Canis lupus familiaris: one gene and its partners. The main gene of each other region encodes a partner of the protein of the gene in region 3 in a complex. Links are inferred from orthologs where the notes say so. Each region holds a gene or a part of one and is shown on either strand. Other genes may lie near its edges. The genes, in order: ZMPSTE24, BANF1 and LMNA.

What was found.
Region 1: the proteins of LMNA (region 3) and ZMPSTE24 are in contact, whole or in part, in a crystal structure (PDB 2YPT), measured with the Homo sapiens proteins. The link is inferred for Canis lupus familiaris from reciprocal best matches to the Homo sapiens genes LMNA and ZMPSTE24. Residues at the interface, in NP_001393912.1 of Homo sapiens: Cys661, Ser662, Ile663, Met664; in NP_005848.2 of Homo sapiens: Ser264, Asn265, Ala266, Tyr267, Phe268, Val332, His335, His339, Glu415, Leu438, Asn439, Asn442, His459, Arg465.
Region 2: the proteins of LMNA (region 3) and BANF1 are in contact, whole or in part, in a crystal structure (PDB 6GHD), measured with the Homo sapiens proteins. The link is inferred for Canis lupus familiaris from reciprocal best matches to the Homo sapiens genes LMNA and BANF1. Residues at the interface, in NP_001393912.1 of Homo sapiens: Ser431, Gln432, His433, Ala434, Arg435, Met540, Lys542; in NP_001137457.1 of Homo sapiens: Val11, Ala12, Glu13, Pro14, Glu83, Asp86, Ala87, Phe88.

Annotation. Positions count from the first base shown.
Region 1 is NC_049236.1:2,743,952-2,747,593, forward strand, and holds part of ZMPSTE24 (CAAX prenyl protease 1 homolog), read right to left. Parts: intron 3,177-3,642; exon of another isoform or gene 3,070-3,176; intron 1,408-3,069; coding exon 1,264-1,407; intron 1-1,263. UniProt on the Homo sapiens protein: Transmembrane metalloprotease whose catalytic activity is critical for processing lamin A/LMNA on the inner nuclear membrane and clearing clogged translocons on the endoplasmic reticulum.
Region 2 is NC_049239.1:51,771,618-51,775,446, forward strand, and holds BANF1 (barrier-to-autointegration factor), read right to left. Parts: upstream 2,305-3,829; 5' UTR 2,022-2,304; exon of another isoform or gene 1,991-2,021; intron 1,380-1,990; 5' UTR 1,365-1,379; coding exon 1,242-1,364; intron 1,033-1,241; coding exon 886-1,032; 3' UTR 503-885; downstream 1-502. Other genes in the region: probable RNA-binding protein EIF1AD, read left to right, coding at 3,596-3,682, 3,829-3,829. UniProt on the Homo sapiens protein: Non-specific DNA-binding protein that plays key roles in mitotic nuclear reassembly, chromatin organization, DNA damage response, gene expression and intrinsic immunity against foreign DNA.
Region 3 is NC_049228.1:41,702,074-41,706,313, reverse strand, and holds the start of LMNA (lamin), read left to right. Parts: upstream 1-1,412; 5' UTR 1,413-1,624; coding exon 1,625-1,980; intron 1,981-4,240.

The DNA of each region.
Region 1 (3,642 bases), on a different chromosome or scaffold from region 3:
CTCTTGATCTCAGGGTTGTGAGTTCAAGCCCCATGTTGGGTGTAGAAGTTACTTAAAAATAAAATCTTAAAAACAAAAAGTGTCTCTAATCCATTTAACTAGTAACAAAATGCATAAGGCATTTTAGAAAATACTTTCAGTTAAAAAAAAAAAGAATGTAAAGGTAGTAAATCTCAGTGCTTTGGGAAACTTTCTTAGTTTATATGGACAATGCTATGTAAATATGATCTATTCTTTTCTATTTTTCTTTTCCAACCCTTTCCCCCTTTGTAATGGAGAAACAGGATTCATTTAGTTTATCTTAAAATCTTTACAACCTGGGATCCCTGGGTGGCACAGCGGTTTGGCGCCTGCCTTTGGCCCAGGGTGCGATCCCGGAGACCCGGGATCGAGTCCCACATCGGGCTCCCGGTGCATGGAGCCTGCTTCTCCCTCTGCCTGTGTCTCTGCCTCTCTCTCTCTCTCTCTCTCTGTGACTATCATAAATAAATAAAAATTAAAAAAAAAAAGAAAAGAAAAAAAAAATCTTTACAACCTGTCTCCAGGAAAGAATCTTTCTGTATGGAAACATCTCAAAATCCCCAATATTATTTCTTGGCTTAATTTGACTTAATTTATTAAATATCATGACATGTTGCCATCATCAGATTTGTTAATATACAGTCTCATTAACCCATGCCTTACCACCTGCATGGAGTCCCGCTACTGAGCAATCTGACCTCACTTACCATAACACACCAAAAGGGCCTGAGGTGGGACCCTTAAGGCTATTCTGAAGCGGGTAGTCAGAGAACACAATCAGAGGAACAGTGTCATCATACTGTCTCCCATATTTAGCCATACATATACATACATACATACATACATACATACATACATACATATACTCAACTATCATTGTTTCATTCCCTCACATACACAAGATTTTCAGCCAAGCACTGGGGAATATGTGATCTAGAACATAGCATTCCAATAGTTAATCTCCATCTACCAAGTCTCTGAGGTACAGGTTAGATCAAGGTTTCCATCACTAAAGTCTAGTCCTCTACTCACCCCCCCACCCCCACCCCTGCTGGCAGCATGCAAGCATTTGTTCATTTGGGCTTGGGTTTTTCTGCTACTTTCTTAGACTGGCCAGCAAATGAAAGGATTAAATCATCTACTTGTTAAAAATATAGTTTTATTTCTTTTTTCACTATCCTAAAGGTTCTAGATTTGAAATGCAAGGGCATATGTGAGATAACTTTAACGATTATACATTACCTCATTGTAAGGTGAAAAAATAAACTGGAAGATGATCAATAATCCAATTAGAGTGGGTTGGCTGTTATAAAAACCAAACGCAGCAAAAAGTTCCTTTCGACCAATTAATACAGCAAACAAGAAGAAACACAGGAAAGAATTCATCTAGAAAGAAAGACACAAAATTCCTAAGTTATTACTAAGGTGATTTCACAATGGGATCAGAAGCACCAAAAAACTAGAATCAGACATCATGGTGTGATTCTAACTACGAATAGTTTTAGTGTAATCATAGAAAAAGTTATTTGGGTAATTTTACAGTTTTATCCTAGAAAGAAAAATAAAATTTCCCCAAATGTCTAAACTGTAGGTTTCTATATGGATAGGCAAGTTTAAGTGGAGCCTCCTATGACTGAGAGTCTGAAGTGGCCAATAGCAATGGAGTATTTTCTTTCTGTAAAAAGCTAAAAGGCTAGAATGGATTCTGGCTCTGTTTGCACTAAATTGTAATCAGACACAAGGCCTTCCACTCACCTTGATGTGGAAGCTCCAAAAAAACAAGACTCCCTACTTTTTAGAACCACTGGAGCTGTACTGAGTACTAAGGTCCAAAAAAAAAGTAGATGTACCTTTAACAATAAATGAGGGGAGGGAAATAAAAAAATAAAAAATCTGTACCAAAATATGAGTAAAAGGGGTACTGGGTGGTCAGGATCTTGGAGGCCAGAGGTACCCTATTCAAATGTACTGCTCTAAACCATCTGCCAGATGACTCAAAAGCTACCAGCCTAGAGTTGGGCTCAGCATAAGGTTCGCCAGCTGGCCTGGGTTGAAGCACAACCAGCTCTATCATTTAGTCCTTATAATTCAGTAGATTCAACATGACAAGCTCCAACAGAAAACTTCACTCACAGTGAAGGCCCCTAGAGTTAAAATAAGCTATGCATGCCATTTTTGTCAAGTAACTACTTGCCTTTTGAAAAACAACTTTTAGTTTGCTATTGGGCCCTACCAGAGACTGATTCCTGATTGTGGGACACTACAAACCTGCAATCTGAGCTGCCCTTCCTAAACTGACTGCCATGTTGATCCACCTAGCCAGAAAACTGGTAGGCCCTGAAGCACTCCAAATCAGATATAAGCGGCACATATGCAAGTGGGAATGAAGGATGTCATGAAGGGAGAAGTACATTAAATGAGCAAGTGGATCATACTCCTAGTATGTCAACTCCTGCCACGCTACCACCCCCCTCAATCAACCCTTACTCATGGGGAGCTCCCTATAATCATTTAATTGAGGAGGAAAAATGTGAGCCTGTTTTACAATTAACTTAGTACAACTATGCTGGCACTGGCTCAAAGTAGACTGTTGTGGCATTACAGAACCACTTGGGGCTGTACTTGGAAGACAACAATAAAGGAAATACTCTAAATGAGGGAAACTTTGGGTAGTATATTTCATTGCTCACTCAGCTTGGAAGGACAGAAGGCCTGAGCTAAGAATATACAATCACTGGCAGTGGGCAAATAATGGTTTGGCTGGATGATCAGGGAATTGGAATGAACTTAAGAATGGCTAACAAGATGTGGAAAATAGGGTATGTGGAAAAGCTTCCAAAATTAGCCCAGAGTATAATATTTTAGTCCAATGTGAATGTTCACTAAAAGAGGCCACAGCAAAGGAAGCTGTCAGTAAGGTGAAGATACCTACTCTGCGGATGTTAGCTTCTCTCCCCAGCTATTCTAGGACTTGGTCAAGGGGCTCTTGAACAAAGGCCAAGGTGCCAGGGATGGAGTCAGTGCATTAACCAACAACCCAGATATTCCCCCCACTGGCTTTTGCTGAGCACACAGTCTATTAGCCTATTACGCCATTGTAGGACATGTGCCTCCCTCAAACCTTGTTATGACCTTAGCACATTACCCATCTGACATGAAAACAAAACAAAACAAGACAAAACACCCACTTCAGACTCAGCTAAGGCCACATCTGCTCAGAACCAGTCAACAGAATATAGTGCTATTTCACCTGGAGCCTAACAACTGTGGTAACTGTTGGTTTAGAGAGCTGATTTAGACCCCAGAGGAGGAATGTTAAAGGAATTGTTATTTTCTTGTTTAGTTACTACAGTCCTCTTCAATAGATGTATAATGACTTCTAAATGAGAAAAAAGGTTTAAAAAGAAAGCATTTTGGGATCCCTGGGTGGCGCAGCGGTTTAGTGCCTGCCTTTGGCCCAGGGCGCGATCCTGGAGACCCGGGATCGAATCCCACGTCAGGCTCCCGGTGCATGGAGCTTGCTTCTCCCTCTGCCTGTGTCTCTGCCTCTCTCTCTCTCTCTGTGACTATCATAAATAAATAAAAATTAAAAAAAAAAAAAGAAAGCATTTTAGGGGCGCC
Region 2 (3,829 bases), on a different chromosome or scaffold from region 3:
CTGGCTCGTACTAAGAGTTCAACAAAGACCAGGACAAAAACGTACCCAACTAACTCAGGCCCCTACAACTGTGATGTCTTATGTTTTTTCTGCCTCCCTAAGAGGACCAGCCAGACGACCAGAGCCCTGCCCACTTCTCCTAGAGGCCAGGAGAGTATATGATGATTGGCAGACAAACTCTAACCCACATTTGATCCACCCTCTTCCTGGTATTCCTGACTCCCACTGATTTTTCCACCAGGTGCTGCCTAGCCCAGCTGTTGACTCGGTTGGTATCTGGAATATCACAGCCCACCCAGATCCCAGGAAGGGATCAACCCACACTCTTTGCCAGATTACTAAGGAACACTCCAAGGCACCTGCCTGAGGCCCACATGGCTGCCCTCCGGAGTGGGAAGGAAGCTGGCAGTTTCGATCTGTACTGATAAAGGAGTGTGGCAGACCCGGTCAGTCCCTGGGGAAGTCCCAGCCCACCTGCTTTTGAACACATGAAGCCCAGTCATGAAGGCCACTGACTTTATTGATTTAAAAAACCTTACAAGGACAGTGACTGTTCTGCCAAAAAAGGAGCCAAATAGCATAAAACAGACCAGACTAGTGGGGGTGGGGGTGAGGGAAGGGCCAGGAACTCACTCGGTAAAGCTGATAATTGTTGACATGAAACTGGCAGGGGGAAGGAGTGGGGAGATGCATGCAAGAGTGAGAATTTCAAAAAAGTTGAAATGGTGAGAGGAAGAGAACTCCCAAAGACCTTGAAGTACATCAGAAGTGAGTACAACAATAGCAATCTCTTCCTTTGTAGAGGACAGGGGAGGAGTTCCCACGCGGCTGCAAACTCGGGAGACTCCATGCTGGGGCTTGGGACTGGGGGCTATCCAGAGAGCCTCACAAGAAGGCATCGCACCACTCTCGAAGGCACCCGAAGCAGTCCCGGGACTGCTTAGCATTGGCACCACATGTGTCCTTCAGCCATTCCCGGAAGAGATCTTCATCTTTCTTTAGCACCAGAAACTGGCCAAGGACCACATAGGCCTGCAAACGGGGAAAGGGCATGCTGCTAAGTTCCATGGGACCAAGAAAGAACAAAGCCACTTTTGTGGCATCCAAAGCACATGAGCCTAGGAAGTGGGCAAGCTGTGGCTATCTCCTCAGGCCACCCTCAACATCTACTCTCACTTTCCTCACCCACAAAGTGAGGCCACCCTCACCCCCATCCCCCAGGTGCATGCTGCCACCCACACCTTGTCAAAGCCCCTTTCCTCCAGCTTCTTGCCCAAGACTTCACCAATCCCAGCCAGGCTCCCCACTGGCTTTTCCCCCATGGGCTCCGCCACGAAGTCTCGGTGCTTTTGGGAGGTTGTCATCTTGATCAGCTTAATCTGGGAATCCCAAGAAAAGGTAAGTTAGGGCTGCAAACCAGGTACTCCCAAGGGCCCAGTGACAATGTTACTTATATTAAGTGAAAGCTAATCCAGCCATTACGGCGGCTCACTCAGATCTCCTCGGTTCATGGGTAAGAGAACTGAGGTCCAAGAAGAGCCTTTTTCCCGCTGGGCAAAAGAATGGTTCTCTGTGGGAACCGGGTTCTCGTCCAGCCCCAGGGGAAAAACTAGCCCGCCCTCACAGGTGGCGCACGCGGGGCAGCGGGAAGATTCCCAGTCGGTAGCCTGGGTCCTCCTTGAGGCTGTCACTCCCTTTGTGACCTTGGCGGGCTAAGAAGGGAGCAAATGAAGGGTCTCTCGGTCCCACGCGCCCGCACGCACCGCTCCCAGAGCGAGGGCACTAACCCAAAAGCGTGCACACGCTCCTGCGCCCCGCGGGCCCGCACTCCCCGCCCCCCGCCCGCCGGCCCCGCCCCCTCCACGCGCCGCCGCGCCGCGCCGCGCCCCGCCCTCTCCCCGCACGGCAGCCGGGCCGGCTCCGAGGGCGCTTCCTCTGGCGGGCTTCTCGGCTAAGGCCCCTCTCCTCCCCGCACCCCCTCCCGCGTCCAGCTCGGGCCCTGCTCCGCGGCGAACGCTCACCAGCAGCTCCGGCTCCCGTAACGGCTCCTACCGCCACCCGGCTGCTCCCACCGATATCTCAAACTCACTAGAACTTTCTTCCACTTCCGCTTCCGGGTCGTCTGTAGAGCCGCTTTTAAAAAAACTCCTCTGGGCACTTCTAGCCGCGTAGAGCCATAGAGAGAAGCGCTCCCGACCTCAGCGGCGCCCTTCCTAGGCACCGCTTGCGGGTTGCCTCGCGGGAAGCCCAGCTGCCTTATGTGGTCTCGCCTCTCGGGCAGCCTGTCCGGTCTCAGGGACCTGAGGCCTTGGAGAAAATTCCATTCCCCGCTGCGCGGCATCGGGAACTCAAGAACTTAACCTTGGCCGACCCGGAGGTGGGAAGAGTTAGAGAGACGGACCAGGCGGGGAGGGCGGCTGGTGAGCTTCCGCGATAGCCCCGGAAGTACGGTGTTCGGAAGGGTCCGACTCTAGAGCGCCTGTGATCACCCGGCTAGGAGGAGTCGGAAGCGCGGGCGACCTGAGTGTGCGTCTGCCTGCCGGCGGGCCCCTTCCCCGTGCCCTCGTTGGCTCAGCTACGAATTGAGTCGTGGGCGAGCCGCTCTCAGCGTCCAGTCTGGAGAACAAGGTCGTTCGGGCACCGCCCGTGGGAGACGAGGGCAGAGGGTAAGTGTCGGTCTCTGAGCGTCTTTCTTCCAGGATAGGGAAGGGGGTGGGCAGGGGACGGCAGCCAGAGGTCACACCTCGGAGTTTCCTTTGGGAACCGTCAGCCTTCATGGTGCCGGTCCTCGTCTTCTCGGTACCCACGTCAGAAACCTGGCAGTGGCCGCAGCCGAGCCGGCTTACCCGACTTTTGTTAACTCGTTCCTGGAGTGGACCATCGCGCTGTCTTCTCACTGGTTTTTGACCGTAGTGTGTTGATAAGCTGGGCATCTGTGTTACGTGGCTGTGCTACACATAGGATGTACGAATATGTTGAGGAATATACAGTTTATCTCACACTCCTTCCTGAGAGGTTTCCCCAATAACTTCTGTAGAACCTGGTATTCGGTTTCTGTGATTTTGCCAGTACTTGTGAGTTGTTTTTGTTTGCCATACACTGTTCTAAGTGCTCGGCTTGCATTATTTTATTCTACTAATTAGTGATTGGGTTTAACTATTATTTTTTCTCTGAAGCTAGTGAAGTTGAACAGCTAGGAAAGAGCCAAGGAAGGATTTGAATCCTAGTAATTAGATTTTATTTACTTACTTATTTTAAAGATTTTTATATATTTATTCATAAGAGAGAGAGAGGCAGAGGCAGAGACACAGGCAGAGGGAGAAGCAGGCTCCATGCAGGGATCCCGTCGTGGGATTCGATCCCAGGACTCCAGGATCACGCCCTGGGCCAAAGGCAGGCGCTAAACCGCTAAGCCACCCAGGGATCCCCCTAGTAATTAGGTTTTAGAGTTCATGTTCTTAACCAGGACACAGTCACTCCTTAGTAAAAAGGATCTCTCTATTTTCAGAACAATCCTGGGTTCTGAACTTGTCATCCAAGAAACTCAGGAGTTGACAGTCTCTGCGTCCCTCACTGCCCTGGGACAGGACCCAGCATGTCTCAGGCCACCAAGAGGAAGCATGTGGTGAAGGAGGTGCTGGGGGAGCACATGGTGCCCTCTGACCAGCAGCAGATTGTGAGGGTGAGTGGCATTGGGCACAAGCTGCTCTGCCTCCCCATCCCTCTACTCCTCTTGGGCCCTTGTGATGGGGGTAGAGTGTAGCACAGCTTACTGGGTATTTGAGCTGACTGATAAGGCTGATGAGTTCTTGGTCACTCTTGGACCAGG
Region 3 (4,240 bases):
CTTCAGTATTACAGAAACCCTGACATCCTGGAGCTGTAGGCGTTTGCAACATAATTTAATTTTCTGGATTCTTTACCAGAGAATAAGCTGTGGGAGGCACAGGGGCAGGACATAAAAGCACGTGGGTTCTGGAGCCTCCGCCTGCCACCTCCTAGAAAGGATGAGATGGCCCGTGGGGCCAGGGCCAGGATTATGGGGGGCCAGTAGAAGACAAACCAGAGGAGTCCTTGGTAAGGGCTGAGGATAGAGGCTCCAGAGCCTGGGGTGGGGAAACCTGGGGATCTGGGTGATCCAGTGGCAAAGCAGACCTGGTCAGAGAGGGATGCAGAGATGAGTGCAGGGCTGGCCTTTGCAGCCAGGAAGGTTGTGGGGTCTTTGCTGTCCCAGCCCCCCTAGTACTGCCTTTCTGGTTGAAACCAGGACAGAGACCCACCACTGGCTGTCCAGCCCCTGCCATGCTCCCCCTTCCAGGCCCCTCTGGGAACCACAAGAATCTGGGACCTGGTGTCCTGGCAACGTGATGAATGCACGCACAGCTCTGGTATCTGTTTTAAATTATCCATTAAAATAAGTACAGTCCTGGAAAAAAAAAAAATAAGTACAGTCTTGGAGTTGGCAGGGTGGGATAGAAGGAGTAGAAAGGGGAGGAACCAAGGCAGCCTCTTTTTCCAGTTGCTTGAGTCTGAAGGAAGGGGGCAAGGGATGGGGTGAGTGCCTGGGTCCCACTCTTGGCTTTCTGTGGGGGCATGTAGCTTGGCACTTGGGCCTAAGACCCAGTGCTTGGTTTTGAAGGGCGAAGTTGGAACAGAAGACAGGAAAAGAGGGACCTCAAACTTCTGGTCCCTGCCCCAAAACCGAGGGCTAAAGGAACTCAGGACCCAGAAACTCCCTGCAGCCTGGCTCCCCAGGGAGCCCAGGCATTCCTTCCCCACCCCACCCTGGCACACAGAGATGCTGCTTTGAATGGGCTGCCCACATGTGGAGGGGGGCAGGGGTGACTCACTATTACTATGGGAAGGAGAGGGGGAGCCAGCGGTGGAAGGAGAGTGAGTCACCCCATGGGCACCAGCCTCAGCCCTCCCCCACCTTTCCTGGATCTGCCGGCCTGGCGCTTTCTCTCTTCCTCCTGCCCTTTGCCCACCCACCCGCACCCTTTGGCTCGGCCTTCTTCTACACAGGAAGGCCCGAGTCCGAGGGGACAAGCGTCGGGGCTGGACCGGGAGCCCGGAGCAGGCGGAATCCAGGAGGGAGAAGCCCCAGGCCCGGCGGGTGCGCAGGGCGGGGTGGAGCCCCACTCAAGCCGCCGCCCCGCGGGGCTCGCCCTTCCCCACCGCCCCCTCGCCTCCCGCTGCGGACGTGCGCGGCCCCTTTAAGAGCGGCGGCCCCTCCTCCCACTCCCTAGACCTATTAGAGCCGCTGCCCCGCGTCGGTGACTCAGAGTGTCCGCGGGAGCGCCGCAGCCACAGCCGCGCACCCAGATCCCGAGGTCCGACAGCGCCCGACCCAGACCCCTCGCCTGCCAGGAGCCCGCCGACAGCCCGCCGGCCCGCGCGCTCCCACCCCGAGCGGTCTCTGCCCTCTCCGGGACCTCTGCCCCGCGGGCAGCCCTGCCACCCTGCCGGCCATGGAGACCCCGTCCCAGCGGCGCGCCACCCGTAGCGGGGCGCAGGCCAGCTCCACCCCGCTGTCGCCCACCCGCATCACCCGGCTGCAGGAGAAGGAGGACCTGCAGGAGCTCAATGACCGCCTGGCGGTCTACATCGACCGTGTGCGCTCTCTGGAGACGGAGAACGCGGGGCTGCGCCTTCGCATCACCGAGTCGGAGGAGGTGGTCAGCCGCGAGGTGTCCGGGATCAAGGCCGCCTACGAGGCCGAGCTCGGGGATGCCCGTAAGACCCTCGACTCGGTGGCCAAGGAGCGCGCCCGCCTGCAGCTGGAGCTGAGCAAAGTGCGGGAGGAGTTCAAGGAGCTCAAAGCGCGGTGAGTGCGCCCAGGTGGTGGCGCGGGGTGGGACCGGAGAGGGTGGGCGGACAGTCGCCCTGGTCCCACAGCAGCCGGCCCATAACTCGGCCTTCCAGTCCCCTCCCTCCCCGGAACTGCCCCAGCGGGTGACTGGCAGTGCCAAGGGAAACTGTCAAGACAGGACTGAGAAGGGAGGGGTCTCTGGGAGAGGGTGGTGGATATAGGGAACGGTGGGGTCATCGGGGCCACGCAAGGACTGATGGTAGGCCCACAGTCTGTCTGGGTGGGGGCTGCCAGCCCTTTGGAGCTGAAGGCAGGGGCCTGGGCAGAGGACGGCTGGCCCTGCTAAGTTCAAGAAATCTGGACACTCAGGACACATTGAAATGGGTGAAATGGTCCTGTTAAAACTTTCTTGGCTGACTTGGCAGTGTGCCAACTTTGCCCAGACTGTCTCTGGACGCATAAGCACCCATGCTGGCGGGCGTTCAGTGGTGCTGGAGAGAGGTTACCAAGGCAGGGACGTGGAGGGGACCTCCTTGGCACAACTCTTTCCAGGATTCTAAGAGTTGGGAAGCTCTCCCTCACTACTTGCAGGTCTGGGACCTTTCCTGGGCTCTGACAGGCCCTCTAAACAGCTTGAGGAGCTCCGCTCCCCCGCAGCTCCCACAGCCCTTGGCCTTCTTGGCCCAGGAATGCAGGAGAGGGAGGGAGACCGAGGGCAGAGGCTCCCGGCTCAGGCTCAGGAAGTTGTGTTATACCCAGGTCTGGTGCACCCCCTTGGCCCTCTGCTTGGTGTCTTGGACATTGGGGGCTGCTTCTCCTGGCCTGTCTGCTTGGGGTGAACCACTTTCATTTCCTGGCCAAATCTGAATAATCTTTGCTGTGGCCCATCCACTCAGCCACTGAAGGTTTTTTGATCTTCGCCTTATGAAACTGCTGGAATAGGTGACATATTTGAAATCCAGCCGTTGGCCGCTTGAGGCCCCTCCTACCTCACCCATCCCAGCCCCACCCTACCCCACCCTACTTGACTCCACCCTCCTTTCTAAAAAGGCCTCTGGATCCTGGAAGTTCAGGCCCTCTTTTCCTGGCCCCTGAAAATTTGTTTTCCTCTTCTCTGTTACCTCTTTCTCTATGAACACCCAAGCCAGAGAGCACTAGGGTGTTTGAGATCCCTGGGACAGGAGGCCCCGTGGCTTGATGTCCCCTCATTCCCCCCCTTTCAATCTTCTTCTCCAAACTCTTGCTCTCCTGGGAGCCTCTATGTGTCCAGTGAGCTTTCTGCCCTTCACCGGCCAGGCCCCTGGCCCGGTGGGCGTGGGTACCCATCCCCTTGGGAAGAGTAGGTGGAGACAGTACACACAGACAGGCTGACTTTTTGGAGACACCATGGAAGGAGATCACTCCCGTCTTTTTGCAGTAGTGATAGGAACAACTGAGCTAGCAGGACAGACAGGAGGCAAGATGGGGGCGGGGGCAGAGAATCTATGTCAAATTAGTCTGCTCAGTGACCAAATCCCCCCACTGCTGATTCCTGTGACGAGCTTTCTCAGCAGGTCTTTCTTTGGGGAGGACATTGATCGGAAAACGGGATGAGTAGACTCTGCGATCTCTGGCTAGCCCCACCACGCCAGGTTGTCTGTCTCTGCCTCTGGCCTAGTGCAGCTGTCCAGGCCTGGGCCGCCAGGCGGGTATGTGCGCACGTGGGGCAGGGGCGGGGGTGGTGTGTGTGTGGACTGGTTATATTTAGCCATCTGCCTCTTTCTTCCCCTGTGATCCTGGCTGGGGAGGCTGGGCTTCTGGGAGAGGGGGTGGGTCTGCACACCTGGATCTCAGGCTGCTGGGAGGCAGGGTGGAGACAAAGGGGACTTCAACTGGGGTGTGGGTCCCCTTCCGTGTCTCCAGTGGGAGGCCCCAGGATGGGCTGCTGCTTTTTATGTCTGCTGTGCTCAAGGTGAAGCAGAGAAGAGGAAAATGAAGAACTTGGGAAAGGAAGAAAAGCATTGTCGTAACTCCTCGCACTAAAGCCTAGAGAGAAGGTGTCCTCTGGTTTAATGTTTAATTAGAGCTCAGAGTTCAGGGCTGGGCTTCTGGTTGGGATGCAGAACTGTCTATGAGATCCCTGTGGCAATCCCCGGCCCAGCCTGGTACCTTGACTACACCCAGGGCTTTCGGGCGCCCTCTCATTGGGCTGGGTTATAGGCTCCACGCAGAAACCCCCCCCCCCCCAGTACCCATACACACGTTCAGTCTATTCCAGAGTCTGAAGCATTTGGAC